Notamacropus eugenii: one gene and its partners. The protein of the gene in region 2 purifies or fractionates together with the protein of the main gene of each other region. This does not show direct contact. Links are inferred from orthologs where the notes say so. Each region holds a gene or a part of one and is shown on either strand. Other genes may lie near its edges. The genes, in order: PDLIM7, PTPN14, STXBP4 and WWC2.

Region 1 (7,972 bases), on a different chromosome or scaffold from region 2:
AATTTGTCCATTGTCTCCCAGGTAGGAAGAGGGATTTGAACTCAGGTCCGCTGCCTCCACAGTCAATAATTCTCTTTCCACTGTAGCACAACACCTCAGGTCACACTGATCTCCCCGGAGCTACACTTGCCCAAGGCCTTGCAGAGTGTTTCATGGAAGGGAAGGGAAGGCTGGGAATTGGGAGACCTGAAACAGAGGCTCAGTGATGTCACTGACAAATGTGTGACTCTGGCTGTGTCACATCCCCTCGATGGGCTCCCTTTTCTTCACAGAGAAAATGAGGGTGTTACATCAGATGATCTCTAACGTCCCCTTCTAGCTTGAATAATCTATGGATTTGCAGATGTGTCATGCAAGCTTTTGAGGGGCAGAACAAAGGGAAGGGGAAAGGAATGAGTATTTATACAGCACCTACTGTGTGCCAGGTACTATGCTAAGTGCTTTACAAATATCTCAAGTGATCCTCACAACCCTACATGGTAGGCTGCGATATTATCTCCATTTTACAGTTGAAGAAACCGAGGCAAGCAAAGTACCTTACCCAGGGTCACACAGCTACCAAGTGTCTGAGGAGAGATTTGAACTCTTCCTGACTCCAGACCCACTGTGTGCCACTGACCAAATTTTATCCATTTCCATCTCACCCTTAGTACTCAGCAGAGCCCATCTGCCCAAACAAAATTCAACAAATGATACTTTCCATAGTTAAAGCACTATAAAATTTACAAAAAATGCTACAAGTCTAGAACTTGATATGCCCTAGGTCACACACACAGAATAAGTAGCAGAGCTGAATTCCAGTTTAGGCCTTTTGACTCCAAAAACCAACCAGTGCACTAAGAAAACTATTTCCTCATGATACCCTTTTAGATAGGTCATGTTATCCCCCATTTTATAGAGTCAGAGGTTAAATGACTTGCCCAAGGTCACTGATGTAGGTAGTAGTAGGGCCAAGATTCAAACCCAGTCCCAAGTGCAAAGTCCCAAACCCTGTCTGCACTCTTGTATGACCTGGAATCATCATCCTCCTGCCCACTAGAACAACCATCAATGGCCCCATTCTTTTTGCTTCCTATGCCAACTCCCAGAAAGAACACATTAATACCTACTGCCCCACCCTCATTCAACGAGGAGGTAAGTTCTTGTCTCACCCGAGAGATGGAGAGGGGCACGTTGAAGTCCTTGCCCCCTTGTAACCGGAAACCCCATGGAGCTGGCCCATCCAGCGTCACCTTGTATGGATTCATGGTGCCAGCTGATTTGTTCCTGAAGGAAAAATAGAAAAGATTCAGCTGAGGCACGCAGGCTGACTGGTTCCTGACAGTGGACATACAGACATCGGGCCAGATGCCAGATGGACAGACATCGAGTCGAGGACTTCGACCTGCTTAAGGGAAAGAGAAGGAACTGCTCAGGCCCTGAGAAAGTTCATCTCTAACCTGGATTGTTTTCTCCCCTGACAACATCCCCCACTAAGTAAGGGGTTCTGCTTAAGGGTCCCCTGAGAATCCAATGGGAAGTAGTCTTCTAGAGTCAGGGATGGGGAGAGCCCAAAAAACTCTCCTCTACCCCCACCCAGCCCCACCCCCTGAGCCTCTGGGTGAGAGCAGGGTCAGAGTGGGGGCAGGCCAGAGTGAAACATAGAGGCCTCACTCAGGCTATATAAGGCATGAAAGCCGATACTGCACGTTGGGGGCTCAGGGACGAGGGGGGGGGGGGTTGAAGGGAAGAGAGATTGTGGGGGAGGGGACTGGAGCCCATCCCAGCCTTGGCTGTTCCCCCAGCCAAGACAGGAAGAGAAGGAGGGAACCCTTTGAGCTGACAGCTGATCTCAGAGGAAAGGAGACCAGGCCTAGGAGATGTGTTGTTGACTCTGAGGAGGGAAAGGGCCTGCTTCTTTTTCTGAAGAGCCCCTAGGGAACATGGGGAAGGGTGGCCTAGAACTAAGACAAACAAGCCTAGTGCTCAACACCCTTCCAGGCTAGAGGTGTGTGTGGGGGTCCTGACATTTGAGGGCCTGCTTCTCAGGGTAGGAAAGGACTAACACCTAGGTAACTATTAGGCCAGGAAAGCTGCTGCCAATATAAGGCAGGCCAGATATATAATATGGCCAGAAGTTCCCTTAGCCCTCCTGCCTCAGTTTCCCCAGAAGCCTGTTAAAATGTACTGTCCAACAGTCTTGTGGACTGGAAGGGTACCACTGCCTAAGGGTAGGTCTCCCAGACATTAGATGAAAGATATTCCCTCTCCCTGAGAAAGGACAGGAGGGGTCTGAGCCTGTGGCAAGTCATCTAACCCCCCCCTGAGGCTCAGTTTCCTCATCTGTAAAATGAGAGGGTCGGACCATAGATGGCCTTGGAGGTGCCTTCCGATCCCCCGAAGAGAAAGGGCAGAAGCTCACGTCCGGAGGTCAGCATCCTCACGAGACTTCCGGAGCCTCTGGGAGAGGTAGGACAAGCAAGGCAGGCTGGTAGCAGAGGAGAAGAACTGACAGATAAGTGCGTCCCGGCACCCCCTCCCCCATCGGGGAGAGCCGAGAAAGCTAAGTCAGCGCCTTCGCCTCCCAAGAAGGTAAACGGACCGGCTCCAGGCGGCGCCTCCAATCCCCCCAGCGATGTCAGCCCCCTCCCCGGGGAGGGACCGAGGGTCAGCCACCCATCCCCCCACCGAGGGAAGGAAGACTGGGGCTGTCCATCAGTCCCCCACCGCAGCTCGGGGAGGAAAGGAGAAGGGGTCCGGTGGTTCCCGGAGTCTCCAGGCCCGCCCGCCCTCCGGGAGAAGCGGACTCAGCAGCTCCCCCACCGCCCCCGGGATGGGGGGTGCTCGGGGCGACTCCCTCCCTGCCTCCCTCCCAGTTCCCGGGGCGGGGCCGCCGGCCGGGCCCTGACACGGGGCTGCTCTCGCCCCAGCCTGAGCCCGAAGCCCCGGGCCGGACAGGGCGGGGTGCCCGGAGCGGGAGCCCCGGGGCAGAGGCGGGGGCGGCAGCGGCAGCCGCGTGGCTCCGCGCTCGGGAAAGCCCGCGCCCGCTGCCCACCGCCGGTTACCTGGCAGCGCTCGGGGCGTCGGGGGCGCCGTGGGGACCGCGGGCTGCGCGCACTCGAGCCGCTTCGGGCCGGCCCCGGCGCGCTCTGGCTCCGCCCGGAGCCGCCGCCACCGCCTTTGAGCTCCCGGGGGCGGGTCTGGGAGGCCCCGCCCCCGATGCCCCGCCCCCGTCCGAGCCCCGCCCCTTCTCCCGCTTTGTCTCGGGCGGCCCGGGGGGGACCCGAAGAGTCCGGGAGCGACCGCGCCCTTCCCACCTTCCCCGCCCCTGCGGGCCGAGCCCCGGAGGATGCCCGAGGGCGAGGTGGACGCTCCCCGGGAGCTCCGCGCCTGGGCCTGCATGCCCCGAGAGCGAGCAGCTCGGGTGGACTTCTCTTTGCAGCGGGGTGGCAGGGCTGGCCCTGGCTCCCGCAGGTCCTCGAGCGCACTCTCCTTTATTTCACGGGGCACCTGAGACTCGGCCAGGTTCAGGGACTGGTCCGGTCACCCAGCTGAGCAGTGCTCGGACGCAGCGTCCGCACCAAGAGCTGCCTTCTGCCAGTTCAGGCTCTATCCAGGATTCCCGGGAGCAGACCCTAATGAGAGCCCAGATCTCCCGACTTCCTGCCTAGACTTAAAAGGGGGGACAGGGTAAAAACGTCAAGACTTGGAGCTTGAGCCCTTGTGTTTTTGACGTCGCCAGGGAGGGAATTTGTTTTTCTTGACTCTACATATTTGTAAAATGTTTTTCTTGCTTTCCCAAAAGAGGAGGAGGAGGGGAGAGAGAGAGAAGGCAGTGCTGAAAATAAAATAATTTTTTAAAAAAGCTTAAAATCGACCCTCAAGATGACCGCAGAAACTTGTTTAGTAACTGTTTACATTCAAATCAATTACTGGGGGTGGGGGACCCTGTAGGTGCAGCACGTGGCACACATGGTTAGGCTTTGTCGATGTACTGATTAGTTGGACTTCACTACTCTTCTGGGTTTTTTTAATCCTTTGTTACAAGGGATGTTTCTCTGGGCACAAGGAGGAAGGAATATGTCTGGAGAGGAATGTGATGTAAAAACAAAAGATATAAATAAAATATTTTAATCAATTTCAAAATGAAGAATCATAAGAATTTTTGGGTCACTCCCTCTCAGTTCACCTCAGAATTCCTTCTTTGTCTATTCATTCTCATTCACTTTTTGTCTTATATGGTCATAGAAGTAAGTATTCCATTCTTCTGCTTTCTCTACTTTGCCGTTTTTTCTTAAAGGTCTTTCCAGAGATTTCTTTGTGTTCTTAACTTGTGGGTCTTATGACATAGAATTCCATTACAAATATACCATGATTTCTTGAATTCTTCGGTTGTTGGACATTTTGGTTGTTTCCAGGTTTTTGTAGTTACATAACATCTAGAAGTCTTTTCACTGACTGCATTGCCCTGTTCCCTGGTACCAATCTCCAGGCACCCTCCAAAGGCTTTGGCCACAACAAACCACCCCCAAGTGTCCCCTCCCCCTCAGCTCCCTTCCTACCAGACAAACACTATATGTCTCCTCCAAGAAACTTTCCCTCATCCTCCACCCCTCCTCAAGGAAGTAACCTGCCCCCCACCCCCCCCGAAAAAAAAATAACCCTTGCTTCTGTTAAGTGCTGCTCGAAGCTGACTGAGAGATCTATGTCTAGCTGACTGTATCCCTATAATCAGCTCAGTTTGATTCAGCCAACTTTATCAAACACCCGATTATACGCTGAGGACAGTCCTACCTTCAAGGTGATTATAATGGAACGAAGAGATCAGACCCTGCTGCTACCCGCTGAACACCTTCACCCAGTCTCCCACCAATAACTAAAATCCAAGGGAGGTAGAGATGAGTTTGAAGGAGAGATCCAGACAAATTGCTAGGAGAAATGTGAAAAGGGAGAGAGAGAGAAAGACAGAGAGAATCAGTTTTACCTGATGAGGGGATAAGGCATCAGGGAAGGAAGCCTTCATGGAAGTGGTGACACCTGAGTTGGCCCTTCAAAGAAGTGGAGTATTTCAACAGATATGTGGAGGTGGGGGTGTGGGATGGTTTTGAGTGAAGACATAAAAATGGGGAGAAGACAGAAGACTAGGAATGAAGAGTGGAGCATGGGCTCTATCTCCTTCTGACCTCTCCCCCCCCCCCCAAAAAAAAGGACTGGGATCTTAGAGAATCTATGGACTTCTCCAAACTCATTCAAGGCAAAGCAAGTTGAGGCAGTTGCCTGGATGGAGACCTAGCTACAGAGAATAATCCAGGCAGGAAAGCAATGAGCTCTCCATCACTGGAGGTCTTCAGTCAGAAGCAAGGGGGCAGGGCAGGTTGTGAGGAGCTTCTATTTTTTATTTATTTTTATTTCTTTTTTTTTTTTTAATTTATTACTAGAGACCCTCTGTGGTCCCTCTAGCTCTGAGATCAGCATCTTCAGTCAAACCCAATCCTAGCCCCTTCTGAGGATGTTTTTGTTTTTTTAACTTTTTCCCAAGGGGCCTCTACCCACAGGGCTGCTTTCTGCCTAGACTGCCCCTTCCCCAGCCTTCCCTACTTTGTCTGTGATACTACCAGAGTTCTTCTTGGCTCTTCTTCCTTCCCTCTCCCTGACCAGTTGCCAAATCTTGTTGATTCTACCTCTGTAATGTACCTTGGATCCATCCCCTTCTTTTCACTTATAGGGTCATAGTTCAACCCTTGCCTGATCATTCTTGCCAGGACTATTGCAATGGATACTTTAATTGGTCTATCCAGGGGTGAGGAACCTTTGGCCTCAAGGCTACATGTGGCCTTCTAGGCCCTCAAATGTAACCCTTTGATTGAATTCAAGCTACATGTGGCCTCAAGGCCACCCCTGGTCTATCCCCTAGTCTCTCCCCTCTCTACTCTTGTCTAGAGGGGTAGAGACCCCTTGAAAAAAGTTAAAAAAAAACAAAAACACCCTCAGAAGGGGCTAGAATTGGGTTTGACCAAAGATGTTGATCTTCACTCAAAACCATCCCACACCCCCACCTCCACATATCTGTTGAAATACTCCACTTCTTTGAAGGGCCAACTCAGGTGTCACCACTTCCATGAAGGCTTCCTTCCCTGATGCCTTACCCCCCCCTCATCAGGTAAAACTGATTCTCTCTGTCTTTCTCTCTCTCTCCCTTTTCACATTTCTCCTAGCAATTTGCCTGGATCTCTCCTTCAAACTCATCTCTACCTCCCTTGGATTTTAGTTATTGGTGGGAGACTGGGTGAAGGTGTTCAGTGGGTAGCAGCAGGGTCTGATCTCTTTATTTGATGGTAAGGGTGGAGCAGGGCAAGCCTTTCTGTCTTTCCCACTGCCCCCAGTCCCTGTCTGACCTCTAGGGATTGCTGATACCACTGATTCTCCTAGCCTTAGTGTACATGTTCCCAGTTGTAAGCTTTTTCAAGGGGACTGTACTAGCAACATAGAGAAAATGGAAAAACTTCCAAAGTACAAAAATGGCCATGGCCTTCTCTCTGTTCCTCACAAGCAACAATACCATCTTTCATCTTCAGGCCTGTTCACCTGGCTGTCTCCTGTGCCTAGAATGCATCTGTGTATCAGTCAGCCTCCTCCCCAAAGCATTTTTTGATGCATCCCTCAGATAGTGAACCCTCTCAGATTTTCCTAGAGCATTTGGACCTTTTTCTTTGCCCCTATCATATTCTATCTTGGATTATATTTATCTGGGTACATATACTAGAGGCAGCTAGGTGGCATAGTAGATAGAGTGCTCAGCCTGGAGTCAAGAAGACCTGAATTCAAATCTAGCCTCAGACACTAATTGTGTGACCCTTGGCAAGTCATTTGATTCCTACTGTCCCCCCCCACAAAAAAAAAAAAAATGAGCTGGAGAAGGAAATGGCAAGCCACTCCAGTGTCTTTGCCAAGAAAACCCCAAATGGGATCACAAAGAGTCAGACACTACGGAGCAATAACCACAAAACACATACTACTCCTTCTGAAGGCAGGAATTATGGCACCACGTTGTAATGTAAGAGCATGCTAGATTCTGAGTCAGAAACCTGAGTTCAAATCCTGGCTCTGGTACCACTTGCTCACTGTGAGACCTTGGGTGAAATCACTTCAGCACTTTCAGGCTCACGTTCTTCAGCTACAAAGTGCGGTTGATTATGGACAAGGTGACCCCTAAAGTCCCTACCAGCTCTAAAATTACAGTCCCATGAATTTTCATCGTTATGTCCCCATTGCCTAACATAGAGCCCTGCATTCTATATGCATTCTATAAATAAATGTCACAGTCACTAAATAAATCCTGTCGAATTAAATTATCCTATAATCTAGGAAATGGCAAACCACTCCAGCATCTTTGCCAAGAAAACTCCATGGACAAAAGTCCGAGACTGAAAGACTGAACAACAGCATGTTATAATATGATGAGAGAGGGAGTTTTTCAGGCTAACTAGAAAGGGCCTATCTAAGGGATCCCTAGGCCTGTACACCGACTAACAGTGGATGGGGTCTGTTGTGCCCCAACCAGAGAACTCCTCCTCCCTACTTCTCATTCATTCACTTAACAAACTACTCAATTTATAAGGTACTTGGGGTACAAAGACAAAAATAAAAAAGTCATTGTCTTCTAGGAGTTTCTGTCTTGCTGAGAGAATACAACACATACACAAGTAAGTATATATAAAGTGCTTTGATGAGAGAGGGAGCACTAATGAGGGGAGGACTTAGCTGAGTCGAGCTCTGAAGGAAGCTTAGAACCCTAAAATGGAAGGTGTGCCACACCTACGGGGCCACAGCCTGTGCAAGGCAAAAAGAGGGGAATTGAGTCCAGAGAGCTATAGCTACTTAGACTGCAACTTGGAGAAACAGCAAAATGGAGTAATAAGTCAAGAAAAGTAGATTGGAGCCAGACTGTGAAAGGTCCGCCAGAGGAATCTGAATTTGATCCCTGAGGCAATAG
Region 2 (8,299 bases):
TCCCGCCTACTTTATATTGGTTCTACACATACATCCCTATTAAGTACATTTTCACCTTAGTCACATTGCATAGCAGCATGAGACTTAATTGACTAGTTAAGAGTTTTGTCCTGTCTCTCTTGGGATACTGGAAGTGACACTGGATAGAACCTCCTGTTAGGAAATTTGTTGTTCAGTCTTTTTTCAGTCATGTTGACCTCAGTTCCTCCATTTGGGGTTTTCTTGGCAGAGATACTGGAGTGGTTTGCCATTTCCTTCTCCAGATCATTTTACACATGTGGAAACTGAGGCAAACAGGGTGAAGTGACTTGCCCAGCGTCACATAGCTAGGAAGTGTCTGCGGTCAGAACTCAGGTCTTCCTGGCTCCTGTACAGAGTACCATGGAGTCAGGAAGACTTATCTGGCCTCCACTGGACACAACTGAGCAACAACCTGTCTCTCTTCCCTTCCTCAGGTGATAAAAGCTCTGGAATTCATTTTATTTGTTGAATACTTACAGACAAAACTAAAATAATAGAGTAGGATGTGGATGAAGGAAAAGAAACAAGGGAGAAGTAGGTAGTGTTTTGAATAGAAACCAAACCTTGCCATCAGGAAGACCTGGGTTCAGGATCCACCACTAACAAATACATGCTGTGTGACCCTGGACAAATTACTTCATCCCTCAATGCTTGGAGGCACTGAGAAATTAAGACTATAACTGGGTAGAGAAGCAAAGCTGTTGTGCAGTGATAAAGGGAGCTTTCTCACCAAGAGTTCCCTACATCAAAGACATTACTAGTCCAGACCAAAAAGAAACAGAAGGTTTCACAGGTAGTCCATAAACTGAACAACCAGCTCCTGGATATTCAACTGAATATCTTTAATCCCATTCAAAAAGACCTAGATTCCAATAAGAAAATAAAGATATAAGAGGAACTCATCTCAGTATCTCACCCTCACCTAACAATTCAAGAAAAATTAAAGTCTTTATGACACTTGAAACTTCTGTTATCTTTTTAGTGTACTGAAAGGCTCTTCCATTCTTGGCTCATTTACATGCTGCTGCCTGCAACTGAAATGTTTGTCTAAACTTAATGTCTACTTTAAGTATAACTGGCTAGAAAGACTTGTCTTCACCAACCACTCAGATCATACACCTTCAAGGAGAATCTTCACCAGTAGGTGGAGAGGCAAAGACAAACACAAGTGGTTATTTAAAAGAAATAACCACACATTTTTCCCAGTCAGATGCCTGATGCATAGAAATAAAATCACAAACACTAGCATGGCACAACCACCATGCACAAGACTCAGGCACTAATCATAGTAGTGCTATTAATAAAAGCAGCATGTTACACAGGAAAGGGCACTAGATTGACAATCAAAAAGAGCAGAGTTCCATGGCTAACTCTAGCTGATTATCAGTCTGATGAACCTGCCCAAGTCTCTTAACCCCACCCCCTCTTGTGGAATGCATATAGTGTATGTAAATATGAGTGTATGTACACATTATATATGGTGACATATGATATCAGCCCTACAAAGAGCAGTTCATTTAAAAACAAGCTACAAGTTGACACTTGCACTTATTATGATACCATAATAACCTTCTAAATTAGCGACCTTATACAGTATAATATCAGGCTAGAGCATAAAAAGCTGTTATATTCTGTTCAACTTCCTACATGTATCAATCCGTCCCTAATAAAGTTTCAGGAAAAAGAAAGTGGCTCTTATAACTGTGCTGCAGCAATAACCATAGCATTTCTAAGTGAGAAGAGAGTGAGCATTACTGACAAAGCACTCACTCTCACCAATGCATGACAAAGGCAAAAGTACATTTCAGATGTTCTTTGATCTCTATAGTGCTTACACAAAATAGGCAAGCCATTGGGCTTACTCCTAAAATGGATGAGCAGTAGCAAAGTCCCCACTGCTGCTACAACCTGCCACTTCACCGCTCTAAGAAAAGGTGACCGCAAGGAAAGGTGGAATAACGCAGCTACTGACAACCTCGACAACCTGCAGCCCATAGTAGAGCTCAATCCACACCTGAGGACGTATGGGCATAAAAGTCCCTTTCATCAGGTTGATTCAAATCTGTCTGTGCCCTAAGTCATCTCTATCACTGGAGAAAAAGGCTTCTCCTGACCTCTAACCTTTAACTCAGCCCCTACTTGACTGAATTTTCCTGTGGTTACTAAATCTTGATTTATTCTATCCTGGGTATTTTTTTTCTTTCTGTATTTGATGGTTGAGGGGAAAGAACCATCATTTCTTTTTCAAACTGATCCGCAGAGGAAAAAGTAGTACACTGTCAAATATCCTTGCTGCAAGAGCCCTTGGTTGCAGAACTAGAAGACGTCCCCACTGGAAAGCAACAAGTAAGAACCCCATGCTTCCGTCCTGAGTTCTCGCCTTACAGAGAGCAAACAGAAAAGGGGGCAGAAAGCTAGGTGGACAGCACATTTTACCTTTCTGCTCCCTCCAGGTGAGACGATGCTAAGCCTCCAGCAAAGTGTCCCCCTAAAAACTGTTTTCCAATGAGGAAGGAGTTGTTAAAGCTCAATCCGTTTTGTGGGGGATTTTTTTGGAAGAGGAGGAGTGAGCCAGAAAAAGTTTGGTCCCAGACAAATTTCAAAGATACGGGCTACGGGGCCCAAAAGAGCTGTTGGCAAACATGGGGCCTAGTGAGGGGCAGGAAGAAACTTCTCTATTCACCGGGCTTCCCCGTAGTGGGCTAGGCGGCGGGGTGTCACACCAGAGGAGTCTGCCTCCCCTCAGTGGAAGAGAACGTTCTAAATCCCTTATCACTCCCCCTCCCCCAACAACGTGGATATCTTCAGAAGGCAACCCTTCCCCCCAAAACTCAAAGGAGTTGAAGGAGGTTTCGGCTGATCAGACCCCTGGCGACCTCCAACCCTCACCAGGCAAGCTCTGTGCCTTCACTATGAGAATAATCCAACTGGCCAGCCAACTCCTGCACCAGCGGAGGCGTCCGTCAGTCCGTCCGTCTGGTCTGTGGCCGGCCAGAACGCAAGTTCGCTCTCCAAGTGTTTGCCAAAGTCATCTGCAAGCAGCGGCGGAGCTGAAAGCCAGCCTCCCAAAGCCCCTCTGGGGCTCCAAGCAAAGGCACGGACACCGGAGCTCCAAGCCTCAGCCAACACGCTGTGTGTTACGGACCCCCACACTTACCTGCTTACACGTCCCCCCCGGACAGAGGTCCCGAGTCCCCCACGGAAAGGTCGGCGGCGGCAGAAGCTCCAATTCCCCAAGGAATTTATTACAGTGGCTGATTTGGGAAGGGGAGGGGGGAAGTAGTTGGAGGAGGAGGAGAAAGGGGAGGGAGGTTTCCGCTCGGATCAAGCGAGGAGAGTCCAGGAAGGGAAGGGAAGGGAAGGGAAGGACCGGAGAAGGAAAGGGGGAAGGAGAGTGAGAAGAGAAACCTAGTCATCCAGTGTGGGTTTTGTTCCGCGGCCGGGAGATCCCAAGGCTTAAGGCCCGAGAGGATGGGGTGAGGTGGGAGGCAGAGGGAGGGCCCGCTAGCAGCTACTTTGTGTTTGCTCTCCCAGGAGGACTGAAGGTTGGAAGAGGGGACGGCGGGGCGGAGGCAAAAATAAAAAGTTACGGCAACCTGCCCCAAGAGCTGCTCACGTTGCACTCCGGGGAGGGAAAAGTTTGCCCTGACTTTCGTGGGCTAAGCAAGCGAGAGCTGCAGGAAATGCAAGCAGGGAGAGGGGAGGGAGGAAAGGGGCCGCTTGGGGGAGAGAAGGCGAAGCAGGCGCCGGGGGCAGCGGCGCCCCCACCCCCCAACGCGGCTGGACTCCGAGGCGCTGGGGTGCCGGGAGGAGGAAGGAGGGAAGGGGCTCGCGGTGGGGGGCGGAATGGAATGTGGCCCGAAGAGGAGTCCCAAGGGTGTAGGCTTTGCTGCTCTGTGAGCGCGCCTCTGTGTGTGTGTATGTGTGTCTGTGTGTGTGTGTGTCTGTGTGTGTGTGTGTCTGTGTGTGTGTGTCTCTTTCTGCGTGTGTTTGGAACACGAAGCTGGAGCTCCCTAGCCGAAGCAGCCTGCTCAGTGCGCTGAGCTCTGGCCTTGGGGACGTCACAGAGCAGGAATCCGTGGAATGTGGGGCTGCTGGAGCTCCTGTTGCAGGGCCGGTAGATGTCCAGGGACTTCTAAATATTTTGCTTTTAGGAGGGGGGAGGGAGGGTGGGGATAGTGAGAAGAGGTCGAGGTGAACTACCATCCAAGAGTCATAAGCTTCAGAATGGAAACGGGGAAAAAAATACCCTAGCTGGAAGAACGTTGCAGCAAAAGTGCAGGAAAGAAAAGCCCACCTCCGTCCCTGAGGGGCGGAGCTACAGGAGGGGCTTGACCAAACCCTCTGGGAGAGACCAAATATACCCCCCTTTAAGGGGACCCTGTGCCTGGTCACCCCACGCACAAGCTTCCAGGAGCATCTGACACCGAAGAGAGCATCTCTGAGAAAGCAGTGGACCATTGTATCCTAAGCATGCTTAGTGGCTTTCGGCCAGATTGGTCTTAGAGCATCAAGGACCTAGTCTCCTTGACGACCCCCCCCCCTCCGCTTATAAAAAATGCATATAAATAGAAACATAAATGGAATGTATCTTTCTTCCTGATCATGTGGTACCACATAATTGCTCCACCCGTGGGCTTGGCACTGGAAGAGTATTTCCCTAAATCTTTTGGAGGTGATGTTGAAGTAAAGCAGTATGACGGGTAAAAGAAGCCCTGACCACAGTTATAGGCCTGGCCCTTCCACACTGACTAAATCTACGACCTTGGGCAAGTCCGGACCTTTTGAGACTAAAATGATGGTTGGAGCCCTCTCAGATTTCTTATACTTTGGGTGGTAAGGGGGAAGGAGAAACAGCAAATATCCCCTGATCATTATCTAATCACAATTTTCTATTCTTCCACCTCTCCAACTATTACATTAAGCCTGTTCCTTAGCCTAATTAGGACTTTCAGTTCTTTGACCCATTCCTAGTCTCCTATCCGATCTCTGCTTTATTTGCTTACTATTACTGTCGCTACTACCCTAGAATCTTGTGTACCTCACCCGCCCCACCCCACCACCCACACACCTACTGCCATTCCAGACCTGTGAATCTTCATCCCCACAGTCCAATGGTTTGATCCAGCTCCAAAGTCACAAAGCATAGATTGAGGTAATCAGTCAATCAGTTTAAAACAGTTATTAAGCATGCTAGAAATACAAAGAAAGGGAACAACTGTCCCTTCCCTTACTGCTCTAATTCTATAAGGAGAGACCACATATAAATAAGTACTTACATGATACATACAAATAACTTCATGTGGGGGAAGGCACTACCAGCGGGTGGAGAAAGAAAGTCTGCTTACACAAGGCAGGATTTGAACTGAGTCTTGAAAGAAGTCAAGGGAACTAAGAGGTAGAGGTGAGGAGAAAGAGAATTCCTGGCATGAGGGAGAGACATGCAAAGGTATGGCTATGGAAGATTGAGTATAGTACTCAAGGAAGAACAAATAGGTCTTTGTGGCCAGAAGATTGAGAGCTTGAAGAGAGGCAAAGTTTAAGAAGACTGGAAAACTAGGAAGGGGTCAGGAGATTAAATACCTTAAAGACTAGGATACTTATATTTTATTCTAGAAGCAATAGGAAGCCACTGGAGGTTACTGAGAAGGGAGGTTACATTATGAGACCTTTGCTGTAGAAAAATCATGAAACAGCTGACTTCACTACCACTACAAATTTGTTACATAACCTTAACTGGACCTTTGATAGTGATCCACCCTCCTTCAGTATCTTTTATTCATTCTCCATTTTTATTTTCCACAGTATATTTTAAGCTTTCTCTCCTCCTCTCTACACCACAAGCCCTCACATTTACAGCATATAATCTTGCTTCTGAGTCAGTTCATCGATAAACATTTATTAAGTGCCTATTATGTATATCCCAGGCACTCAGTAGGAACACTGAGGTAATATGGTGGTGTAATGGAAAGAGTATATATCTGGAGTCAGGAAACTTGGATTTGAGATCCTGGTTTTATCACTTACAGCCTCTGTGACTTTGGGAAATCACTTTATTTCTTTGTCCCTCAGTTTTCTGTCTGATGATGAGAATGAAGTAGTTATTGGTGTCAAACTCAAACAGAAATGGGAGCCACTAATCATGCATAAAGATCCCTTCAGGTGCCATATTAGCTTAGAAAAACATACATGTTCTTAGATTTCTTTTTTTTTAATACACCAATGCATTAGAATCAGATAGAAAGTGATTCAGATCACTCTCAGAAGTGTTTTGGGCTGCTTGCTGCCTGGGGACCCTGTGTTTGACATTTGTAGACTAGGTGACCTTGGAGATTTTTTCCAGTTCTAAATCTGTGAACTTATGACCTCTCCCAAAGTCCCTCCTCCTTCTTCAGTACTTGGCAGCATCATATCCCCTTCTCTCCTTTCCTTTGGTCACAGAAAAAGTATTGCCAAGTCCTCATCTCTAAGAATAATCTTCTACCTCAGGGGTGCTTAACCTGGGTTCTGTGAACTTGGATTTTTCATATAAATATATATATATACACGTATGTATATGTATGTATGTGCATATATGTATATATATACACATACACACATATGTGTAACTATTTTAGTAAAATTGATTTCCTTTGTAATCCAATGTATTTTGGTTTATGAATTTTAAAACCTTCTAAGGATTCTCTAGGCTTTGCCAGGCTGCCAAAGGGAGCCATAACACACAGAAAAGGTTAAGAACTGCTAACCTTACCTGTTCCCTACATACATTCTCTCTCACTTCCTCCAGGACCTTATTCTAGTTATTGTTGTTCAGTGGTTTCAGTTATGTCTGACTGTGACACCATTTGAGGTTTTCTTGGCAGATAATGGAGTGGTTTGTCATTTCCTTCTCCACCTCATTTTACAGATGAGGAAAGTGAGGAAAACAGCGTAATGTGACTTGCTCAATGTCACACAGCCCAGATTTCAACTCAGGAAGATGAGTCTTCCTGATTTCAGACCTGGCACTCTATCCACTGTGCTGCCTAACTGCCCCCTCATTCCAGCCCCTTCTTATCTTATCCCTCATTCATCCCTTTTCTCCTTTGAATATCTTCAATTACCCCCTCTCCCCTTGTTTCTTCCAAACTATCTAATAATATGATTAGGTCTCCCTAACTTAAAGTTTTAAAAAAAAAGCTTTCTTTGGATTTTTTTAACCCATTCAGATACTGTCTTCTCACCACACTCCTCTACATTACTTGGCTTCTTGAAAAGTTGGCTATATGCAGCATCTCCATTTCTTTATTTCTCTTCTACCATTTACATTCTGATTCTTCTGAAATTGTTCTCTCAAAGATTACCAGTAACCTTGTGATTGTGGAATTCTACTTGATTTCCCTCTGCCTTTTCACCAAGAGTGTGCTAGTAAATGTTTAACAAACAGCTTTCTAGTCAGGGGAATGAACATAAAACACACTATGTTTCATCTATTCTAACATTTTCTCAGTCACTTTTTAGGTCTAGACAAGCACAAAAACAATAAATCAAGCCTGATTGCATTTACTGATTTCCAAAGTCTAAATGCTCATACTGAAAAATAAATTGGATCCAGGTAGAAGATGAGTCCAGCACATGACTGCTTTTAACCAAGTTAACCATTTCCTTTCGGAAGTACTGACTCCTATGCTTCAGAGACACATTTATATTTTTGTTTGCTTCTTACTTCTCTATTTCTTCTCTTTCTCCTTCCCTGGATACTCAACTCCTTTTTGATCTCTTCTTGATCTAACCTCAAGGGTCTGTCACATGGTTTTCAAGTCTTTATCACCTCTCTTCTGAGTTTCATATCTGCTTCTTCAATTGAGTTCAGATATCCAACTGAATGTCTCACCACTACCCCAAACTGAAGATGTTCAAAACAGAATATATTGTCTTTCTTCCTATTATCAGTCCTCTCTTACTTTTTTTGCACAATTTCTATCTTTTACCCCATCACCCAACCTTTTTTTCATGTTTATAACCTTGGGGTTATCTTTGACCCTTTTCTCTCCTTCAGCTCTCATAATCCTAGAAATTCCACCCCCAAAATATCTCACAAATTCATTCCCTCCAGTTTATTCTCATTTTCATCACTCTAGTGGAAACGCTTATTATCATTCCCTTGAACTTTTGCAATAGCTTTATGACAGATATTTTTTTACCTTTATTACCATCCTCTTTCCAATTTGTTCTTCATTCACATTGCCAGAATAATTTAGGTTATGCTTACATCTGGTAATGTCATTCATTTATGCAA
Region 3 (7,564 bases), about 57 Mb from region 2:
CTGAAGAAAATAACACCTTTAAAAATAGACTAACTCAAATGGCAAAAGAGTTCCAAAAAGCCAATGAGAAGATGCTTTAAAAAGCAGAATTAGTCAAATGGAAAAGGAGGTTCAAAAGCTCACTGAAAAAAATAGTTCCTTAAAAATTAGAATGGAGTAGATAGAAGCTAATGACTTTATGAGAAATCAAGAAATTACAAAACAAAAGCAAAAGAATGAAAAAGAAGAAGACAATGTGAAACATATCATTGGAAAAACAACTGACCTGGAAATAAATTCAGGAGAGACAATTTAAAAATTATGAAACTACCTGAAAACCACGATCAAAAAAGAGCCTAGACATCATTTTTCTTGAAATTATCAAGGAAAACTGCCCTGATACTCTAGAAACAGAGTGTAAAATAAATATTGAAAGAATCCACTGATCACCTAATGAAAGAGATCCAAAAAGAAAAACTCCTAAGAATATTGTAGCCAGATTACAGAGTTCCCAGGTCAAAGAAAAATATTGTAAGCAGACAGAAAGAAACAATTCTAGTATTGTGGAAATACAATCAGAATAACACAAGATGAAGCAGCTTCTACATTAAGGGACTGAAGGGCTTGGAATATGATATTCCAGATGTCAAAGGAACTAGGATTAAAACCAAGAATCACCTACCCTGCAAAACAGTATAATACTTTAGGGGAAAACACGATCATTCAATGAAACAGAGGACTTTCAAGCATTTTTGATGGAAAGACTAGAGCTGAATATAAAATGTGACTTTCAAATGCAAGAATCAAGAGAAGTATGAAAAGGTAAACAGGAAAGAGAAATCATAAGGGACTTACTAAAATTGAACTGTTTACATTCCTACATGGAAAGACAGTATCTGTAACTCTTGAGACTTTTCTCAGTATTTGGGTAGTTGGAGGGATTATATGCATATAGAGAGAGAGCACAGGGTAAGTTGAATAGGAAGGGATGATATCTAAAAAAATAAAGGAGTGAGAGAGGAATATACTAGGAGGAGAAAGGGAAAAATGGAATGGGACAAATGATGTCTCATAAAATAAGCACGAAAAAGCTTTTTCAATAGAGGGGCAAAGGAGGGAGGTGAGAGGGAAAAAGCTTACCCTCAATCACATTTGGCTTAAGGAAGGAATGATATGCATACTCAATTTGGTATGAAAATCTATCTTACGCTACAGGGAAGTAGGGGAGAAGGGGATAAGTGGGGTGGGGGATGATAGAAGGGAGGGCAAATGGGAGGAGAGAGTAATTAGAAGTAAACACTTGGAGAGGGACAAGGTCAAAAGAGAGAACAGAATTAATGGGGGGCAGGATAGGATGGAGGGAAATATAGTTAGTCTTTCACAACATGACTATTATGGAAGTCTTTTGCATAAGTACACATGTATAGTCTATATTGAATTGTCTGCCTTCTCAGTGGGGATGCGTGGGGAGGGACGAAGGGAGAGAAGTTGGAACTCAAAGTTTTAGAAACAAATGTTGAGAATTGTTTTTGCATGCAACTGGGAAATAAATATAGGTAATGGGGTATAGAAAACTATCTTGCCCTACAAGAAGAGAAGATGTGGATAAGGGAAAGGAGGGGTGTGATAGAAGGGAGGGCAGATTGGGGGAAAGGGTAATCAGAATGCACAATGTCTCGGAGTGGGGAAGGTGAGAGATGTAGAGAAAATTTGGAAGTCAAAAGCTTATGGAAATGAATGTTGAAAACTAAAATTAAATGTATTAATTAAAAAAAAAAAAAGAAAGAAAATGTAGGTCCTTAAATCACTAGATCCAGACCACGGAAGCAGAAAGGTTTTTAAATATTCTGCATTATAAAGAATGAGACATCTATTTTGGCCAATGTGGAAATGTGTTTTACTTGATTATGTCTTACTTGTTACAAGGGGTTTGCTGTTGTTTGTTTGTTTGGGAGTGGGGAAGATGACAGAAAGGGACAAAAACAAACGCCCGTAGGATGGGGAAAAAAAATTTGACAGAATTTAATTTTTAAAAAATTATCTGGTCCAGGGATTATCAACAGGGAGAATCCATTTTAAGTATTTTGATATCACTGTATTTCAAGGTAATTGGTTTCCTTTTCATGCGCTGTTGTCCCCTGCTCCTTGAGGGCAGAGACTTGGAAAAGTCTTGAGTTCAAATTCTCACCTCACACAAGTGTTGGCTTTGTGACCCTGGACATGTCTCTCAATCTCTCTCAGCCTCAGCTTCCTTATGTGCAAAAGGGGAATAAAGGTATCCCCTACCTCCGTGGGATACTTGTTAAGCCTTTAGCAAAGCACCCCGAACACAATAGGCTCTTAAAAAATGCTTGCCGACTTGACTTAAAATCCCATGTATTTTATGAATTTTAAAACCTTGGGGAGTGAGGTGGGGTCGGGGAGTTCATCGGGTCTACGAGGCTGCCACTTGACTACGAGCTCTTGGAGAACGGGGGCTGGGGTTTGTTTTTCTCTTTGTCTCCAGCCTTTTAGCACTGTGCTCGGCACCTGGTAGGGACTTAATAAAGCGCGCTCGATGGGATGCTACAGGGGGTCTGTGACAATCCTCCCCAAAATGTAAGGAACCTCTGGTCTAGCCCAGGTCGTTCCTGGTGCAGCTGGGCTCCGAGGACCAGAGAGGCTGAGCGACGCTGCCCAGGTCACACAGCAAGAAGGGCAGAGGCGCGAGTCACACTCGGGCTCTCCCTCTCAGCCTGCCTCCTTTCATTATCAGTATCGGGAGAGGTAACTGGGGGTGGGTGGAGGGGCTCAGGCCGCCGGCGGGGTCTCCGGTTGAGCGGAACTCTCGCCCCAGACTCGAGCGGGAGTGGGTTGGCACCGAGGAAGATTCCACGCGCGGAACCAGAAGCTTAGGAGTTTGGGGGCCGGATAGGGAGGGGCTCGAGCCCGGGAGCGAAACGCGAACTCACCCACAATCCGGCCGCTCGGCCGCCGTAGCGCGTCCCCGAAGCCGAGGCTGCTGGAAGAGGGGCCGTTGCTATCTCCGCCGCTGCCGCTGCCGCTGCCGCCGCAGCGGGCTGGAGAAGCCGCGCCAGCCGACGGCGCGCTCTGACGTCACGGGGCCCCAGCAGCCACGCTCGCGAGGGCCCGATCTCGCGCTCTCCGGGGCCGGAAGTGGGGCTCGGGCGCTTCGCCCGGGTTGCCATGGCGGTGTTTGGGCGGCCCCACTGGAAGCCTCTCCAGGCTTGCTGGGGTTGGTGGGGCGGCCGGGCCGCGGCCCCTCAACAGCGGCAGCCGCCGTGGAGGCCGAAGAGCACGAACCCGTTCGCCCGGGAGCAGGAGCAGGAGTGGCGGCGGCGGAACCGCACCGTGCTCACGTACGTGGCCGCGGCCGCCGTGGGCATGATCGGGGCCTCGTACGCCGCCGTGCCCCTCTACCGCCTCTACTGCCAGGTAGGGCAGCCGCCGGCAACCCGGACCCGGAGGCTCCTCCTACCCGCCGGGAAACCGAGGCCCGGAGCAGGGAGGGACGGGCCCAAGGTCGCGCCGACTGGACGGGACCTTACCGGGAAGGAGTCTGGGTCTGTTGTAGAGGACTGAGGTTTGAATCCCAGCCCGGCCCCCTACAGCCCTTTGTGACTTTGGGTTCTCCAGGCCTCAGCCTCCTCATCTGTGAAAGGGGCGTAAAAAATAGCGCCCACCCCTCCTTGTCTTTGGTGATCTGGATCCAGTGAGATAATTTACGTGAAGTGCTTTGCAAGCTTTTACAAAGGCGCTGTGTGAATGCAGGCTTGCTCCATGCAGTGACTTCTCAGTGTTTATTCTCTTTGACCTCTGGGCATCTTTTAATGCTGTTAACCAGCTCCCTGCTCTGGAGATTCCCGCACTTTGTCCTTTGTGACACTGCCCGTATTATCATTCATTCAATCATTCATTCATCAAATATTTATTAAGTTCAGTTCCAGAAACACTTAATTAGCACGTACTGTGTGCCAAACTTGGTGCCAAGTGGTGGGATACAAAAAGAGACCAAAGACAGCCCCTGCTCTCCAGGAGCTTACAACCTGGCATGGAGATAAAAATGCAACCAAATAATAGGAAATAATGGAAAGAGAGAAAGCACTAAAACTGAGAGGGGTACGGAAGGCTTCCTGTCGGTGGGATTTTAATTGAGACTTACAGGAAGTCAGGGAGGTCTTTAGTTGGAGCAAAGACAGGAGAGAGAGCATTCCATGCGTAGGGTGTACAGCCAGAGAAAATGCTCAGAGCCAAAAGATGCAGTGTCTTGTTCTTGAAACAGCCATGAAGCCAGTTTCACTGGATCAGGGTAGTTTGGGGGGAGTAAGGTGTGAGAAAACTGGAAAGCCAGGAGGGGGTTAGGTTACAAAGTAGTAGTTGAGGAGTAAGGTGTGAGAAAACTGCAAAGGCATGAGGGGGTTAGGTTACAAAGTAGTAGTTGAGGAGTAAAGTATAAGAAAACTGGAAAGGCATGAGGGGGTTAGGTTACAAAGTAGTAGTTGAGGAGTAAGGTGTGAGAAAACTGGAAAGGCAGGGGGGGGAGGGGTTAGGTTACAAAGTAGTAGTTGAGGAGTAAGGTATAAGAAAACTGGAAAGGCATGAGGGGGTTAGGTTACAAAGTAGTAGTTGAGGAGTAAGGTGTGAGAAAACTGGAAAGGCAGGGGGGGGAGGGGTTAGGTTACAAAGTAGTAGTTGAGGAGTAAGGTGTGAGAAAACTGGAAAGGCAGGGGGGGGAGGGGTTAGGTTACAAAGTATGTGGTGTTTGGGTACAGAACATTGTATGGAGCCCTGGAGGAAATGACATTTAGAGAAGACCAGGCTCCTGCTTGTTAGGCAATTAGGAGGCACAGCTAGACTTGGAGACCTGACATTCCCAGCTAATGGCCAGATCTTGTCAGTTCTACCTCTGCAGCATCTCTTTACATCTCTCCCCTGGCAATCACTTTCCACTCAGGCCCTCCTCACTTCTCTGGACAATTGAGATAGCCTCTAAACAGACCTGCCTGCTGCCTTCTATCTTTACCTTCTTGCTCACTGCTGCCAAGTAATTTTCCTAAAGTTCAGGTCTGAACTCTACTTGATGAAGCTGTGTCTCCCTCTCTCAGATTAAATATAAACTCCTCTTTATGATTTAAAATTCTTTAAACCATGGTTCCATCCTGCCTTTCCAACCTGATCACACATTACTCCTCCCATGCATTTTACAGTTTTTCTATTCTTTGCAAATGACAGGCAATGTCTTTGCACTGACTCGCCTTTTCCTAGAATGAACTCTCTGTCATCTCCAACTTTGGAAATTCCTGGGAATTTCCTTCAAGATTCAACTCAGGTGCCACTTTTAATATAAGGCCCTTCCTGGTAGTACGTCTATCCCCCAATCCCTGCTTATCTTATATCTGCTTTGTGTGTTTTGTAGATATGTATATACACATGTATATACATATGTGTATGTATATGCCTGTTGTTTCCTCTTTAAAATGTATGCCCTTTGAAACAAGTACTCTTGCTTTGATATTTTCTTTATACATGCCTAGCACAATGTCTGGAACATAATAAATGCTTTCAATTGAATATAATTAGATTGATCTAGAACTGACTAAATGACTGGACTATCAGGTTCTTAGGGATGTGGCCACTAGAATAAAGCCTCAGATGCCTTTTGTTATTTAGTGCTAGCTTCTGCTTTGTTTAGTGAACTGATTTGGAAATTAGTTAAGATGTTCAACATTTAAAAGTAAAATGATTGTACAAATGTAGGTATTCCATACTTATCTTAAAAGGTGCACTAATAATAACAAAATTTAAATGGTAGCATAGCATGTTTATATATTTTGAAGCAATTAGGAGCACTGTCACAGTTATTTGAAGACATATTTAAAATAGTAGTTCTCTGCTCCATTGGGAAAGCATATTTTTGGGACTTCAGGACTTGGTTGAAATCTTTTTTGGGGGAGTAGTGGGGGAAGCAGCTAGGTGGAGTCAGGAGAACCTGGGTTCAAATCCAACCCAGATACTTAACTTTGTGACCCTGGGCAAGTCACTTAACCCCAACTCCCCCCCAAAAAATCTTTAGCCTCTAAGGTGCCTTCTAGTTGTAGATCTTTGTCTTTGTTCAGTTGTTTCAGCTGTGTCTGACTTTTTGTAACCTCAGTTGGGGTTTTCTTGGCAAAGATACTGGAGTGGTTTGACATTTCCTTCTCTAACTCATTTCAGATGAGGAAACTGAGGCAAACAGGGTTAAGTGCCTTTCCCAGGGTCACACATCTGGTAAGTGTCTGAGGCCAGACTTGAACTCAGGAAAATGAATCTTCTTGACCCCAGGCCTGGCACACTATCCTAGCTGCCCACTGTAGATCAGGTGTCCTTTAATCCTGTGGTAGTGTTTTAAAGGAACGTTTCATGATTATGATGCACCTTCATTAAAAATCTATAAATCTTGTTTTTAATATACTTTGTAATAATTTTTTCCCAGACCACAGGACTTGGTGGGTCACCTGTAGCTGGTCATGCTTCAGACCAGATTGAGACTATGGTACCTGTTAAGGATCGAATCATTAAAGTCACCTTCAATGCAGATGTGCATGCAAGTCTTCACTGGAATTTTAGGCCTCAACAAACCGAAATATATGTAAGTGATTGCCACATTTAGTAGTCCATGCTGAATGGTAGAAAGAACCTTTATCTTATTCAAACCCCTCATATTGCAAATGAGTAAACTAAAGCCCAGAGAGGTATGACCCTCCATAGGCCATCAGGAGGGGTCAGCTTTAGAGGTAGGATGGGACTAGATAATAACTTTAATTCAAAAATGAATTCTTGTTACTCTTAAGTAATTTCAGATCTTTAGAAAATCACATCTAAAAATTTATAAATTATGACTAATATTAATCATGTTAATGTGTTTCTCTCCTTCCCTCTGCCTAGTCTCTTCCTCTTTCTCTCCTCTCCCACTCCCATACATTTTTTCCACCCTTGCTTCCAAGAACTGAGTGTCACAAGGTTTCAGGAACTCCTGGATTCTCATGAAATGATCATGGTGAGCGTTAGCATCACTGCTATAAAACCCTGATTAAAATACTTGCTAAACTATGTAATCTCTTTAACTTGAGAGCCAGAACATTTTTTCCCCTTTATTTTCAATCCTCCTCACTTGACCTTCCCTCCAAAAACCATTACCTGTCTTTCATTCCTCTTGTTTCTCCCTCCCTGCTCTGCAAACATGGTCTACAATCCTAGGACCTTAAACAACCTTTCTTTGACACTTCTATTCCAGCCAGTTACTCCTCTCTCTCTCTCTCTCTCTCTCTCTCATTACTGCCAAACTTCTTGAAAGTTTTTACAGTTTATGATGCCTCTACTTCCTCATCATCTACTTTCTCCTCAATACCTCTCCCTTACCACTTTATGAAACTGCTCTCAAAAAGGTCACCAACAACCCTTTTAAAATTCCCTCCCAGTGACCTTTTTTTGCAGCTTTAGACACTATTGACCACCTCCTCCTTTGGGATACTTTCATTACCCTTGGCTTCAGAATCAGTGCAGTCAATTGGTACTCCTCTTACTCCTTCCCCCACTCATTTGATTC
Region 4 (7,989 bases), on a different chromosome or scaffold from region 2:
AGAAAGAGTTTCTCAGCTAAATATTTGAAAAGAGACATTAAATCTCCTGAGGACCAGTAAGAGGACAGCCACTGAGATGAAGGTAAAGTAGTGGTTGCGGACCATTGTGTTCCATCAGTTTCTTTGCATGTGACTATTTTTAGAATTTTGAAGTTTATAACTAAGGAATCATAAATCAAATAAGTGTGGGTTACAGGAAGATTATATAGGGGTTGTTGGGTCCATTGATGACAAAACTGGATTTTTGGAGTTTTGCCTCATCAAGTTACAAGTGGGTCACTGAAAACTGGGAGGCCCTCATTTGAAGCCAGCAGCAGCAGAAGCCATATGAGAGGAAGAAGTAGCTAGCAATAGGTACTATGTGTCAGGCACTCTATAATTATCTCATTTGACCCTCACAACAGCCCTGGGAGGTAGGCACTATTATTCTCCCCATTTTACACATGAGGAAAATGAGGCAAAGAGACATTAAAGTGACTTACCCAGGATCCTACAGCTAATAAGTGTCTGAAAATGAATTTGAACTGGGAATCTTCCTGACTCCAGGTCTGACACTCTATCCACAGTGCCACCTACTAAACTGAGGTCAAGAAACATCTCAAGACGGCAAAGATTGTTTACAGAAGACAGAATACAAAATCTGACAAGGACTAAGGTGACAAGAAAATTTTGTAGCTGCTTAGCTGGGAACCTGCTGATTAGAAGAGAAAGATTTCTTTGATCATGGACAAGAGAAAGGGTGAGTTAAGTGAGAGTTCTTCAGCCGCTCTGCTGTTGGGAAGAGAGCTAAATTCTAAAGTGTGCAGAGGAAGCTTATATTGCTTTCCAGCACCTTCTACCACCTGAGAGAGGGCTGTATGGTTGGTGTCTAATACCCTCTCTGGCTTGAGAGGAAGAAACATAGGGGGAAAGATAGACTGTGCATATGTTTTGCTATGAGCTGTTTTTTACTGTAAGAAGAGACTTGGAAAGAATTGGATGAAGCAGAATTCCCTAGTATTTGCAGAGCTGAGGAGTCTGTCAGTTCTCCAACTTAAAGTGACTTCTTGTCACTGAAAGAACTTAACAATATTTCTTCTGTCTTTATCAAGGTTGGGCTACAAGAGAAAAGATCTTATCTGCTTTGTTAGCTTGAAAGCAGAAAAGGAATAGGTCAGGACCAGAAAGAGAGTGGCTAGCAGAGAAACAGCTTCATAGGTTGGAGATTGTTCCTAAAGGGACTAGATGTATCAAAGCTTGGAGCCCAGGGGTGTAAGATACCCAAAACACATAAGTTTACAACTTTTATGTTTTCCTGTTAGATTTCTATAGATTTCCTCTTTCTCCTCAAATACTGTTAGCCTTGGTGGGAGGGCGTGACCCAGGAATATAGATGGTAGAAAAGTTTTTATAATTTCTGTTTTTGCCTTCACTTAAGTTGTGATTTTTATCATTCAGGCTTTTGCCTTCTGTTGAGTAAATGTTATTAATCAGTTGGTAAATAAATATTTATAAAGTATTTACTATATACCAGGCATTGTGCTAAGTGACAAATACAAAGAAAAGAAAGAAACAGTCTCTGCTCCCAATGAGTTCACCGTTTAATGGAAGAGACAATACACAGACAATTATGTACAAACAAGCTACATACCAGAGAAATCAGAGATAATCAACCGAGGAAAGGGAACAAAGTGTTCTCATAGAAGTCTGAATTCCTGTAAAAGAAGGTAGGATTTTAGCTGGGACTTGAAGGAATTCAGCGAGGCCAGGAAGCAGAGATAAGGAAGGAGTAAGAGCATCCCAGGCAGGGGGCACAGTCAATGAAAACGCCTGGAGTCAAGAGATTAAGAATTTCTTGTTCAGTGAACTGAGAGAAAGTCAGTGTCATTAGATCACAGGAACAGGGGGTTGGGGGGAGATGGAGACATGGGATGATGGTGCAAAAAGACTGAAAAAGTATCAAGCAGGTTACAGCAAAGGTTTATTCTTAATAATTTATTATCGTTGTTACTGTTATTTTTATGATGGCTGCTTTTGCTTTAGGCTTGAGTTAACATTGTCCTAGTGACTGACTTCATTTGAATGAGAAGCACATTGTAGGGGCTCAAGAGCTCCAGTGGTAAGCAGTAGAAGTGTTTTCCTGTTGGGACCCTGTGAGAGAGCAGTTGGTTGTAGCAGCCCAGTTATAGAAGTATTCAGCTCCACTCTGAGGAAGAAGAAAACAGAACTCCAGACTTCACAGCAGGAGGTCAGGTTAGGGCTGAGTCATTCAGCACCGACAGAGGAAGGTTGGGTCCAGGTGCCTTGTCAGATGTCAAGCCTGGCCCCTTGTAGTCACTATTAAAGTCTCTATACATTAGTGACTATCATTTTTGTAGTGTTGTGACTGCTACTCTTTTAATTTGAAATGACTTTTTCTTTTTGGTAGATTAAATTGTGTTCATTCTTTCTTTGGATATGGGAAAGAATGTGATTTCCAAGTATTCCCTAAGAACCACTAATGTCTTGACTATCATTGCCCAGTATCCATAGACCATGTTTAACCTCTGTTGAAAAACCAGGAAAATCCTGAATTTTTCCAGGTTGCTCAGGGGTTTTCAGAGGGGCCCTTTAGCCCATCCTCTCCCTACCTTCTTCCTAGCTCTCCAGAAATGCTCTTCTAATTATAGCTCCTGCAATGACTCTACTTAGCCTGGTACAGTGGAAACATTAGACCTGTAGTAAGAGGAGCTGAGTTCAAATCCTTTCTTTGCCTTTTTACTACTTGTATTATCCTAAGCAACTCACTCAATCTCTCTGGACCTTAGTTTCCTTACTGTGGCCTGTTGGCCTTCCTAGACGATTCAGTCAAAGGGTAGAACTTGAGGACCTAGAGGGCCACATGTGCCTCCCTCTCTAGATCTATGGTTCTATTTGAGCAGGCTATTTATTCTAAGGTGCACCTAAGTGGCATTGTGGATAGAGCACTGGGCCTATGTCAGAAAGATCTGAGTTCAAATTTGACCTATGTGACTCTGCTTGCCTCAGTTTCCTCATCTGTCAAATGACCTGGAGAAGGAAATGGCAAACCACTCTTTTCCAAGAAAACCCTAAATGGGGTCATAAAGAGTCAGACACAATTGAACATCAACTTATTAAATATGTTTTTGTTTCTTCCTTAAAGGTCTTTAATAGTAGGGATTGTTTCATTCATTATTTTTTAATCCTCAGTGCCTTTTGAAATTTAATGAACTTATTTGTTTTCAGTTTTCAACAATCATTTCCACAAGTCTTAAATTTTCTCCCCCTCCTTTTCCCCTCTCTCCCCATGCAATCTTATATGGGTTCCACACCATAGAAATACTTGTTGATTGAATGACAAAGGAATAATTCCAGAGTAAATCTAAGGACTAGAATCTCAGAATTTTAGCTGGAAGAGCCTTTTAAGATCATGTAGGCCAGTCGCCTTGTTTTATAGTTTAAGTAGTAAGATCCAGAGCCTTGCCCAGGTGACAGTTTCTTAACTATTCCCATCCTTCTTGATTTCCCTCTTCTCTGAATTATTAAAACACACATTATTTTGACCACAAAATTTAATTCTTCTTTGTCTTTTATTGGTTATCATGTGTTGTTTTCTCAAGAAAACTGTAAAACTCTGTGAGGGCAGGTATAGGGCTCAACACATGGCAGGTACCTGATACACTGTATTCAAAGAATGGTTTTTTAAAATTCCTGTTTCATCCAGGATGAGAGAACCAGGAGTCTCTCAAAGCCTACTGAGCTCCAAGGCCGCACTGGGCCTTCCCCGGGGTGGACTTCATGATTCTGCCCTCCCAGAGGGTCTTCTCTGGACTATCTACCCCACGGGCTGAAGCATTCTCAGCCTGATATGTCATTACAACTACAACAGAATTGTCCTAGAATGAGGCGATCTTTTGACTTGCTACCTGGTTCACAATGAGAACATTCACAGTAAAGCAGGAATTTTCTGTTGCACTGGACCTTCCCAGAAATCGACGTGACTGGAGCGCGAGGGTGTCATCCTGCCCTGACATCAATGGAGCAACTAGCTTCCAAACCCTGGCTCCTTTGTCCCTTCCTGGGGATAGCCCTGAAGCCCACCAGCCGGCAGAGGAGAGGCAGCATTGCAGCCAACACACATGCAGGACTAGGCGTTAAGGGTGAAGCCTGTACCTGCTTCCCTCCGAGGACTTGTTTACCTTTCCCTAAGAAACAAGGCTCACCTGAGAAGTGAACAGACTGGGGAGCACTTGGATGAAAGTCCCGAAAAGAAAACCTCCTAAGCAACAGCCACCGAAGTGCCGGGGGCTTTATTCAGGCTGCGGACCGCAGATGCCCTGCCTCCCCACCCGCCCCCCCAAAGCCAGCAAGGGCACCCAGCTGCCAGACACTGGACTGTAGGAAGGGAAGGAAAGGGGGGAGCTGGGCGGGGACTTGGAATCTGTTTGTGCGCTGGGGGCTTTGGGGGGATCCGGCTTTTCTCGCCCGAAGGGGAGATTCCCCTTCCTCTCGCTCCTCCAGGAACCCACAGGGAAGTTGGGAGGCTGTGGGCAGAGAGAGGGAGGAAATGTCAGAGTTTCCCTTTTGCAATCTCTCCCATTCTTGGGGGGCAAGAGGTGTTTAGGTCTTTGTGAGGGCAGGGAGGGAGAAGGGGAACAAGCTGATTTTAAAAATTCTTCCTCCTTCCTCCCACCTAGCTTCCCCCTCCCTTCCCCGGACCCCCTCGCTGGGGCAGGACAGCCCCGGGGCGCTGCAGAGGGTCGCGGGAGCCGCAGGGTTAAGCCCGAGGAATGCAGCGGCGAGGAATGTGCATGCAGATGAGCGGAGGGGAGGGAGGGGGCGGGGCTGCGGTGGGAGGGGCGGGGCAGGATGCTAATCATATGCAAATGAGCAGGATCCTCGGCCCCCGCCGCCGCCGCCGCCGCGAAGACGCAGCTTTTCCCGGATCCCAGCCCAGACGGCGGCGAGTCGGGCAGCCCGCGGGGAGACCCGGGGGAGGAGGAGGAGGAGGAAGAGGCGGAGGCAGCGGCGAGGAGGAGGAGGAGGAGGAGGAGGGGGATAATCCTAGTCAGTCTCCGGCTCCCAAGTGGACATGGTGGACTGATCCCAAACAGGACAGGGAGCAGGATTTCCTGGACGCTCCCCCCCGCCCCGTGTCGGGGTCCCCGCTCCGGTGCACCCCCGCCCCTGCACCCCGCCCCCTGCACCCCGCCCCTCCCTGTGCCGCGCGGTGCCCTGCCCGCTTCCCGCGGGGCTCCCGCCCGGTGCCCCCTGCCCGCTCCCCATGGAGGAGCCGTACCCCGGGGGGGCCGCCGACGACCATGCCTAGGAAAGCCGGCCATGGGCAGCTGCCGCTCCCCCAGGGCTGGGAGGAGGCCAGGGACTACGACGGCAAGGTCTTCTACATCGACCACAACACCAAGAAGACCAGCTGGATCGACCCCCGGGACAGGTGGGGGCGCGGGGGCCGGGCCGGGGAGACCCCCTCCCTCCCCTCCATCCCCCGGCCCATCCTGCCGCCCGAGGGCTGAGGGCTGAGGGCTGGGGGCGGCCGCAGGCTAGCGCTGCGCAGCGGCGGCGTTTGTCGTCCGGGAGACCGGGCAGAAGCGGCCGCTGCCGGTGCGGGGCGAGCTGCGGCGGGAGCCCGGGGGTGGGCTCGAACCCGCGGCCGAGCCGGCGCTGGGGGACCTCGTCGTGCATCCGCGGCTCTGGGCGAAGGCAGCCTGGCGGAGGGATGAGCCCAGGGGGCTGGACCCGCGAGCCCTCCCGGGTGCAGGAGCCGTGGCAGGGAGGGTCTGAAGCTGTCCGTCGTAGGCCGTGCTGGACAGCCAGCTCTCTCCCCATTGCACTCGGGTGGATGGATGGTCTCCCGAGCGCTGGGAGGGATGTCAGGCCGGGGCTCCTAACAGTCACAAAGAGATTAAGAGCCAGGGTAGGGGACAGAAGGCTGTTCCAGAGGAGGCTTTGCCTTCCAAAACAAAAGGCTTGAAGTGGGGGAGATGGGGAACTGAGTTACCCAGGCTACCTGTAGACATCTCTGTCAGTGGGACTTCCTACACCCCACCCTCTTCTCTCATAGTTGGAGTTTACAACTACATACAATATAGGGAGCCCAAGCCCACCCTTTGGAAGTCAGATTTTGGAAGCCTGTCTCTGCTGGAAAGATTAAACCTCGGAAGATGTATTACATCCTCCTGAGTGTGTAATGTATACAGTTCAATAGCTGACTTGACTTCCACTACCTTCCCATTCTTAGAAATGTAGACTATGTGCTTCATTACCCTATAGCGAGTAGCCTTTACTTTGAGATAGCGAACTGGGCAGTTTCCTTATCGTACAGTTCTTGAAACTATTCTTTAGCCAAGGCTGAAGGAGACCTGTTGGTCTTTTAGCCTTTGGAGACCTAATGTAACATCTACTCGCTCCCATTCTACGCTTGGGAAGCGTTTGCCTTTTCCTAGCCTGTAGGTATAAAAGAAAAACTATATATGTAATATATAGTTGGAATTTACAACTAGATACAGTGTAGGGAGCCCAAGCCCACCCTTTGGAAGTCAGATTTTGGCAGCCTGTCTCTGCTGGAAAGATTAAACCTAGAAAGATGTATTACATCTTCATATTACAAATATTATTACATATTACATATAATATTACATATGTAGTTACATAGTTATATGTGTGTATCTATATATCTAAACCATTCTGGAACTTTAAAAAATATCTAGTGTATCTAGTGAATATCTAGTGTATCTAGTGTTCACATTTTACATCTCTGTCCCTCCTCACTTTTTTTTTTCTTTTTAAAGAGTAAGTTGGTCGTTATTCGTACTAGGAGGGTGAATTTGGCTAGTTGTAATAATAATAGTTAATAGTAACAGTAATCAAGAATAACTCAGCCCTTTTGGACTTTTACCTCTTTCTGAAATTTCTTCTTCAGTTATTTATGGAATGTGGTCAGAGAAGTTAATAACCAGACTCTTTAAATTGCTTCCCCTTCTAAAGTTGTTTTTTTAAGATCTGAAGTAGAAATAGCCCTGGAATATAGTTACAATATTGTTATCCTTTATACTGTAGCTTCCTTCTACCTTTTGTATATTACTTGTAAAGGCTATTAAAGGTGATTATAAGGAAGTTATAAATGACATTATATATTCATGGAACAATCCTTGTTAAATTATCCATGAAGGTATCAGCTTAGGTTTCCCTACTGAAAATTAGAAAACGTACTTGTGCAGGACCTATCCCTTGTCAGAATTGCGCCCACCTCTTGCAGAGTGAAAGTTTTGACCAACATCACACCTTCTACAGGTGTCTCCAGTCATATTAGGTATTGCCATAAACTTAACACTGTAAATGTGTTATTTGACTTACCCCATTGCACTTTGAAACCACTTAACAGATAGTAAATGTCAGCTCTAATGTTATGCATGGAACTTCGTCATTGATGCACCTGTTTAAATATTTGCCTTCGACATTTGTGGGGTAGTTATTGCTTTTTCCAATACTTGTAATTGTAGGTTATTGAAATTTCAGGAAATTCTTGAAATATTTGGGTATTTTAAGTTCTATTCTGCTTCAGTTTGCCCTTTAGATTTTATCTTCCTTTCTATATTTACCAAATAAAAAAAAGATTACCAGAAAATGTAAATGCCCTAGGAAAGCAAATAGAAAGTGAAATATAATTATATAGCTAGGCTTATCTGTATCAATGCTTCTTAAACAAGTCAGCTGTGTGTTATTTTAAACTGTTATTAGATTATCAATTCTTGAGAATTTTATTGTCAGGAAAATAAGTAAACAATGCATCTTTTTGTCTGATGTGACTAAAAGCCAAAAAGTTGGTCCATATTACTTTAGTACTGTGATGGATGCTCTGGGGATGTTGGACAGATGTGACTACTTTTGCTCTAAGTATTGGGATTTTTTTTAAGTTCTTTTCTGAGGTGAGAGCAATATTGACAGAACTTTCATTCCTGGTTTAATCATGATTCTTTTTTTAGGATAACTAAA

The links.
Region 1: the proteins of PTPN14 (region 2) and PDLIM7 purify together in Homo sapiens (affinity purification with mass spectrometry; 3 studies listed by BioGRID and IntAct, counting the BioPlex papers as one, with this or other methods). This does not show direct contact. The link is inferred for Notamacropus eugenii from reciprocal best matches to the Homo sapiens genes PTPN14 and PDLIM7.
Region 3: the proteins of PTPN14 (region 2) and STXBP4 purify together in Homo sapiens (affinity purification with mass spectrometry; 3 studies listed by BioGRID and IntAct, counting the BioPlex papers as one, with this or other methods). This does not show direct contact. The link is inferred for Notamacropus eugenii from reciprocal best matches to the Homo sapiens genes PTPN14 and STXBP4.
Region 4: the proteins of PTPN14 (region 2) and WWC2 purify together in Homo sapiens (affinity purification with mass spectrometry, with the first as the bait; 3 studies listed by BioGRID). This does not show direct contact. The link is inferred for Notamacropus eugenii from reciprocal best matches to the Homo sapiens genes PTPN14 and WWC2.

The regions. Positions count from the first base shown.
Region 1 is NC_092872.1:414,317,525-414,325,496, reverse strand, and holds the start of PDLIM7 (PDZ and LIM domain protein 7), read right to left. Parts: upstream 3,173-7,972; 5' UTR 3,045-3,172; intron 2,468-3,044; 5' UTR 2,402-2,467; exon of another isoform or gene 2,345-2,401; intron 1,636-2,344; exon of another isoform or gene 1,440-1,635; intron 1,267-1,439; 5' UTR 1,248-1,266; coding exon 1,152-1,247; intron 1-1,151. UniProt on the Homo sapiens protein: May function as a scaffold on which the coordinated assembly of proteins can occur. May play a role as an adapter that, via its PDZ domain, localizes LIM-binding proteins to actin filaments of both skeletal muscle and nonmuscle tissues.
Region 2 is NC_092873.1:423,312,754-423,321,052, reverse strand, and holds the start of PTPN14 (tyrosine-protein phosphatase non-receptor type 14), read right to left. Parts: upstream 3,294-8,299; 5' UTR 3,179-3,293; intron 1-3,178. UniProt on the Homo sapiens protein: Protein tyrosine phosphatase which may play a role in the regulation of lymphangiogenesis, cell-cell adhesion, cell-matrix adhesion, cell migration, cell growth and also regulates TGF-beta gene expression, thereby modulating epithelial-mesenchymal transition.
Region 3 is NC_092873.1:366,587,142-366,594,705, reverse strand, and holds the start of STXBP4 (syntaxin-binding protein 4), read right to left. Parts: upstream 3,111-7,564; 5' UTR 2,931-3,110; intron 1-2,930. Other genes in the region: COX11 (cytochrome c oxidase assembly protein COX11, mitochondrial), read left to right, coding at 3,166-3,414, 6,452-6,607. UniProt on the Homo sapiens protein: Plays a role in the translocation of transport vesicles from the cytoplasm to the plasma membrane. Inhibits the translocation of SLC2A4 from intracellular vesicles to the plasma membrane by STX4A binding and preventing the interaction between STX4A and VAMP2.
Region 4 is NC_092878.1:101,433,988-101,441,976, forward strand, and holds the start of WWC2 (protein WWC2), read left to right. Parts: upstream 1-4,882; 5' UTR 4,883-5,300; coding exon 5,301-5,431; intron 5,432-7,989. UniProt on the Homo sapiens protein: Regulator of the Hippo signaling pathway, also known as the Salvador-Warts-Hippo (SWH) pathway.